Linked DNA regions of Ovis aries. The protein of the gene in region 1 interacts with the protein of each later gene in a pairwise test. Links are inferred from orthologs where the notes say so. Each region holds a gene or a part of one and is shown in the gene's direction. Other genes may lie near its edges.

Evidence for each region.
Region 2: the proteins of MEOX2 (region 1) and TRIM42 interact in binary tests that used the Homo sapiens proteins (3 or more experiments, as listed by UniProt). The two-hybrid records come from large-scale screens. The link is inferred for Ovis aries from reciprocal best matches to the Homo sapiens genes MEOX2 and TRIM42.

Annotation. Positions count from the first base shown.
Region 1 is NC_056057.1:25,002,792-25,006,444, reverse strand, and holds part of MEOX2 (homeobox protein MOX-2), read left to right. Parts: intron 1-482; coding exon 483-655; intron 656-3,653. UniProt on the Homo sapiens protein: Mesodermal transcription factor that plays a key role in somitogenesis and somitogenesis and limb muscle differentiation. Required during limb development for normal appendicular muscle formation and for the normal regulation of myogenic genes.
Region 2 is NC_056054.1:248,855,607-248,859,259, reverse strand, and holds part of TRIM42 (tripartite motif-containing protein 42), read left to right. Parts: intron 1-1,035; coding exon 1,036-1,859; intron 1,860-3,653.

The DNA of each region.
Region 1 (3,653 bases):
GTCACTTAGTCATGTCTGACTCTTTGCAACTCCACTGACTGGGGCCTGCCAGGCTCCTCTGTCCTTGGAATTCTCAGGCAAGTATTGGAGTGGGTTGTCATTCCCTTCTCCAGTGGGTCTTCCCAACCTAGGGACTGAACCAGTGTTTTCTGCATTGAAGGCAGATTCTTTACCATTTGTGCCACCAGGGAAGCATATTAAGAACAGTTAATTTTTTGTGTGTATATTGATATTTCAAAAGAAGAAAACTAGACACAGCCCCAGTTAGGCTGTGAGTCACCTCAGGGCGCATAGGAAAAAAATGCAATTTATCTCACCCTGTCAAGATAAATCTTACTGTCTTTGGTTTCTCTCTATTTTTACTGTGTTTAATAGAGTACCTGGAAAAGTAGTTATTCAGTAAATGTTTCTGTTCTAAATTAAATGATTGAATGTGTTTGAGTGAATGAACTAAATCTAATTCTTTTACTTTTTTTCACCAGACTCCCAGGAAGGAAATTACAAGTCAGAAGTCAACAGCAAACCCAGAAAGGAAAGAACAGCTTTTACCAAAGAGCAAATCAGAGAACTTGAAGCAGAATTTGCCCATCATAATTATCTGACCAGACTGAGGCGATATGAGATAGCAGTGAATCTGGATCTCACTGAAAGACAGGTAATGTTGGACATTGTCATTATATATTTTTAGTTGCTTTGGGTCAACAGTCTTCTCTCACCATTTAAAAAATATCTAGATCAGTTCAATTCAGTCTGTCAGTAGTCTAAGACTCTTTGTGACCCCATGGACTGCAGCACTCAAGGCCTCCCTGTCCATCACCAACTCCTGGAGTTTACTCAAACTCATGTCCACCCAGTCGGTGATGCCATCCAACCATCCCATCCTCTGCTGTCCCCTTCTCCTCCTGCCTTCAGTCTTTCCCAACTTCAGGGTCTTTTCAAATGAGTCAGTTCTTCCATCAGGTGGCCAAAGTATTGGAATTTCAGCTTCAGCTTCAGTCCTTCTAATGAATATTCAGGACTGATCTCCTTTAGGATTGACTGGTTGGATCTCCTTGCAGTCCAAGACTCTCAAGAGTCTTCTCCAACTGCTGCTGCTGCTGCTGCTAAGTCGCTTCAGTCATGTCTGACCCTATGCGACCCCTTAGACGGCAGCCCACCAGGCTCCCCCATCCCTGGGATTCTCCAGGCAAGAACACTGGAGTAGGTTGCTATGTCCTTCTCCAATGCATGAAAGTGAAAAGTGAAAGTGAAGTCGTTCAGTCGTGTCTGACTCTTCCAAGCAAGAGTACTGGAGTGGGGTACCTTTGCCTTCTCTGGTCTTCTGCAACACCACAGCTCAAAAGCATCAGTTCTTCGTTGCTCAGCTTTCTTTACGATCCAACTCTTAACATCCATACAGGAGTACTGGAAAAACCATAGCTTTGACTATGCGGACCTTTGTTGGCAAAGTAATGTCTCTGCTTTTTAATATGCTGTCTAGGTTGGTCATAGCTTTTCTTCCGAGGATCCAGCATCTTTTACTATGGCTGCAGTCACCATCTGCAGTGATTTTGGAGCCCAAGAAGATAAATTCTCTCACTGTTTCCATTGTTTCCCCATCCATTTGCCGTGAAGGGATGGGACTGGATACCATGATCTTTGATTTTTTAATGTTGAGTTTTAAGTCAGCTTTTTCACTCTCCCCTTTCACTTTCATCAAGAGGTTCTTTAGTTCCTTTTCACTTTCTGCCATAAGCGTGGTATCATCTGCATATCTGGGGTTTTGATATTTCTCCTGGCCATCTTGATTCCAGCTTGTGCTTCATACAGCCCAGAATTTCTTACGATGCATAGAAGTTAAATAAACAAGGCGATGATATATAGTCTTGACGTACTCCTTTCCCAATTTGGAACCAGTCTGTTGTTCTATGCCCGATTCTTACTGTTGCTTCTTGACCTGCATATAGATTTCTCAGGAGACAGGGTCTGGTAGTCCCATCTCTTGAAGAATTTTCCAGTTTGCTGTGATCCACACAGACAAAGGCTTTGGTTTAGTCAATAAAGCAGAAGTGAATGTTTTTCTAGAATTTGATCTAATGGGTGTTGGCAATTTGATCTCTGGTTCCTCTGCCTTTTCTAAATCCATCTTGAACATCTGGAAGTTCCTGGTTCACATATTGTTGAGGCCTAGCTTGGAGAATTTTGAGCATTAGTTTCCTAGCATGTGAGATGAATGCAATTGTGCAGTAGTTTGAGCATTCTTTGGCATTGCCTCTCTTTGGGATTGGAATGAACACTGATCTTTCCCAGTCCTGTGGTCACTGCTGAGTTACGAAACTTGCTGGCACCTTAAGAGCATCATCTTTTAGGAGTTGAAATAGCTCAGCTGAAATTCCATCACCTTGACTAGCTTTGTTCATAGTGATGCTTCCTAAGGCCCACTTCACTTCCATTCTAGGATGTCTGGCTCTAGGTGAGTGATCACACCGTGGCGTGGTTATCATGATCTGTAATTCTAGATATCTGGATCTGTGATTCTCAAATATCATTGGGAAGATCAATTTTCTCTTTCATGATGAAGCTTTTGCCCAGCATAATGATATAATTAAGGAAGAATAAAATAAAGTGAAGTGAAGTCACTCAGTCGTGTCTGACTCTTTGCGATCCCATGTCCTTGGGATTCTCCAGGCAAGAATATTGGAGTGGGTTGCCATTTCCTTCTCCAGAGGATCTTCCCAACACAGGGATCAAACCCAGGTCTCCCGTACTGCAGGCAGACTTTTTACTGTCTGAGCTACCAAGGGCTCCCTGAAGAATAAAATAGTCATATCTATTTATTTTACTTTACAATATTGTATTGGTTTTGCCACACATTGACATAAATCTGCCACGGGGGTACATGTGTTCCCCATCCTGAACCCCTCTCCCACCTCCCTCCCCATCCCATCCCTCTGGGTTTATTCAGTTTATGGAATCATCCTTTGTTCTGTGATTGTATCTTATATTTTTTGTTTCTAAAGTATTATGTCTTTTATATAATGATGGCATATGGAGAGGACTTTTGTTTATTTTTTATATTCATTTATTTTTAATTGATTTATGATTGCTTTACAATATTGGTTTGCTTTCTGTCATACATCAACATATATTAACCATAGGTGTACATATGTCCCCTCCCTTTTTAACCTCCCTTCCACCTCCCACCCTGTCCCACTCTCTAGGTTGTTACAGAGCCCCAGTGTGTGTTCCCTGAGTCCTACAGCAAGTTCCCATTGGCTGTTTATTTACATAAGTCAGTGTATATGCTTCCATGTTACTCTCTCCATTCATCTTGTTTATTTTTAAAATCTCCTTATTTCACATACTAGAAATTTGGAAACCCCATGTTAGTTTCGTTTACTGCTCAGGATAGGGTTTATGTCACAGTAATACATTAACCCTCAAATCTGAATGACATAAGCATAAAGTTTACTGTTTGGTCACTCTCCCTACTAACTTTGCAAGTCCAGCTTTCCAAATAATCACTCAGGACCCAGTCTGACCTTCTAGCATCCTGACATGTGGTGTCCTTGGTAACTGCAAGAGGTAAGAAAGAGCTGGAGGTTCAGGCATTGACCTCTAAATGTTTTCACCTGGAAATGACCCATGTCGCTTTCATTTTCACCCTAATGTCT
Region 2 (3,653 bases), on another chromosome or scaffold:
AATCTGGAAAGGATTATAGCCCATCAATTCACTGCAGAGTCAGCCTTTCCTGGAGAGGACCTTACCTCTAGAATAGGCCACAGAAGGCTGACCTGTATTCAAATTGTTGTCTAACGCCTAAAACCCTGTAAAGACAATGAAGTTGCCATTTCACAGACAGAGGTGGGCCACATGCTCACCCTGCCCTGGCATCCTCCCCACTGCAGTATCATTGGGTTTGTGCATTCCTAGAGCATCAGTGGCCTCTCATACTCATATCTGTATCCCTAGAGCTTAGAAAAGTATATGATGTGGAATAGGTGTCCCATAAATGGTTGTTGAATGGTTGAGAGGACTTAAAATCCAAATGCCATGTCAAGGCTGCAGGATGAACTTGGTTTTCCTTGACTTGTAACAGCAGACCCTTTCTGGAAAGGAAGTGGGAAGTGGGGTAGGCAAGACAGGGAGTCCAGCTGAACCCAAGGGAGTCAAAGCCCCCGGCAAAGGAAAAGGACATGTCAGAGAAGCCACAGTGAAGGGGAACTTTGCTGGTTTGCCACTATTGTCTAGGGCTGGGTTTTGGTGAACGAGACAAAGCAATATTTAGAAGTAGTCATCAGAAATTTATTTCTTCTCCCACCCCTGCAAAAGCTTAGGCTTTCACATAGGGAAAATCCATCACTTTGTGACATCACCTCTTCTCACGTCCAACTTGCTAACAGGTAAAGTTGAGTGAAAACTAATATCAAGGGTGGCCTTGAACTTCCACCTTTAGACCCAAGGCTGTAAGAATTATTAGATAGAAGTATGCCAGGGAAGGCTGGCTGTCATACCTAAAGGAAATATTAGACAAAGAGGAAGAGAAGGGTGTGTGGAGAGGGGCCAGAGTCACTTTACAAACCTATGCTAGCATCTTTAAGCCCAGCAACAAGTGGTTTTCCTCCCTTTCCACCCACTTCTTTGGAGCCCAAGTTAATATGCTCCAGTTTGCCACTGGCTTTGATATCTGGGGAACTGAAAATTTTAACTGAAGTAACTAACTTGATTGTTTTGCAGTCCGCTATGAAATTGATAATGACCTCATGGAATTCAATATTTTAAAAAACAGCTTTAAAGCTGACAAGGAGGTAAAGCGGAAAGAGATCAGAAATGGATTTCTCAAGCTGCGCAGCATTCTCCAGGAGAAAGAGAAAACCATCATGGAGCAGATAGAGAATCTGGAGGTGTCCAGGCAAAAGGAAATTGAAAAGTATGTGTACGTCACTACCATGAAGGTGAACGAAATGGATGGCCTGATTGCCTACTCCAAGGAGGCGCTCAAGGAGACAGGCCAAGTGGCATTCCTGCAGTCAGCCAAGATCCTGGTGGACCAGATCGAGGATGGCATCCAGAGCACTTATAGGCCCGACCCACAGCTCCGGCTACACTCCTTGAACTGCATGCCCTTGGACTTTGCTGAGCTCTCCAGTGCCATTCACGAGCTCTTCCCCACAGGACCCAAGAAGGTGTGTTCCTCTGGGGACTCCCTGCCGTCCTCCTACCCCCTGCAGTCAGAAATGATGATCGCCAGGAAGGTCACTTTCAGCACCCACAGCTTCAATAACCAGCAGATATACCAGCGAAGCTCCTCCTTATTGTCCTTCAATGCCCCTGCCTGTGAGAAAACCAAGATAGGTCTGGAAGCCTATGGGCGAGCCCAGTCAGCTGCACCTGCCAAGCCCACAGACGGCCTCTACACCTACTGGAGCACCGGGGTAGAAAACCAGCCTGTGCAGAATAGCAATAGCTTCCACAACTGGTACTCATTCAACGATAGCTCTGTGAAGACTCCAGGCCCAATTGTTATCTACCAGACTCTGGTGTATCCAAGAGCTGCCAAGGTAAGAAAGGCTCTGGGCCCTGTAGGAAAGATGGGAGGGTGTGAGCTATGGCATGGAGGTGGGTAGTCGGGAAAGTTTGCACTTAGTTCATTGACCACTAGGATCTGGTCACTCAGATCTGTTCCTCTGGACTCTGTGTGGTTGGCCCATTCAAAAGGGATAAGTTCCTGAAATCTTAAGAGCCCGAGATTGGCTTAAACCAAACATATATTTAACTCATAGCCAGAAATGCATCTGAAAGCCCCAATTCCACTTCAAAGGCAGCTTCTCTATTGAAAGAGACTGCAATTTTGGAACCAAAGTAATTTGAAGAGACTGCTTGAAGAGAATAATATTTCCCAAAGGAAAGCCTGTAACAGTAGAAAGAGAACAGAAATTGGAATTAGAAAAGCAGCCTCCGTGATCTATCAGCTGTGATTCCTCTAAATTGCTACTTTTTCTAAAGAAAATATCTAGACTCTTCATGATTTGGAAAGATTAGAAGGTAATCCCCAGTGGAATTCCAGTTCTTATCTCCTGAGATTCAGCTTTTAGTGAGGGGAGGGTATGTATCTCTCACAGACCTCTACAACTGCCATCACTCAGCGTCAAGGGATATGACTCTTCCTTGACCTTCTTGGCCTAACATGAACAGAACAAATAGCCCATCTCTTAACATTCCTTTCAAATCTAGCTGATTGAATCTAAATTGAATAGTTTATATAATGTTCTATTAGCATCCAGGAAGGAAAAAAATGTATTCTATGAGAGCATATCTTGCCTCCTCTTGGGACCACTAGAGGGACAATTCCCAAGCCAACCCATGACTTGCTTCCATGTAGCAGAATCCACCTTCTGTCCTCATGATCTGAGCACTCACAAAGACACTTAACGTCCTTGAAGCCTAAACTAGTGGTTCTCAAACCTTAACGTGCACCCGGGAATCTTGTTAAATACAGAGTCTGCTTCAGTGGGTCTCAGCGGGGCCTGAGATTCTGCACTTCTAACAGACTTCCAGATGTTGGCATTGCTGCCAATTAGCAGACCACACTTCAGTATCAAAGGATCTAGAAACAAGAAAATTAAAGGGAGACACTGACCAAGCCTTACCTTTTTATTCTCCTGAAACATCTTAATCTATGTTTTGGCATTTATAATTGACTCCAAGAATGACCTTATGTTGCAAGGTAGAACATACAGAACCTATCCTCCCATGGGCTGTCAGACACAGCAAATGTATCTCTGCCCTTCACATAGCAGGTACCCACAACTAAGCAGCTGAAGCTGCACTTCCAAGTGATGCTAGATCAGCAACACCTGCAATGTACGTGACACTGCATCAGGGACTGCATTAGTTCTCATCTCCATGCAACTCAGACCACTTGAGAGGTTGGCAAGATCTAGCTTCTGAATGGGAGAAGACAATGGCACCCCACTCCAGTACTCTTGCCTGGAAAATCCCATGGATGGAGGAGCCTGGTGGGCTGCAGTCCATGGGGTTACTAGGAGTCGGACATGACTGAGCGACTTCCCTTTCACTTTTCACTTTCATGCATCAGAGAAGGAAATGGCAACCCACTCCAGTGTTCTTGCCTGGAGAATCCCAGGAATGGTGGAGCCTGATGGGCTGCCGTCTATGGGGTCGCACGGAGTCGGACACGACTGAAGCGACTTAGTAGTAGTAGTAGTAGTAGCTCTGGATGGGAACGACTGGTGATGTCTGCTCTATTCTTGGGCTTGAAGAACAGTCTCCCTGGGCCCCCTGGGCTTAACACACCCTTGATGAATTCAAGAAAGGAACGTATATAGGAAAAC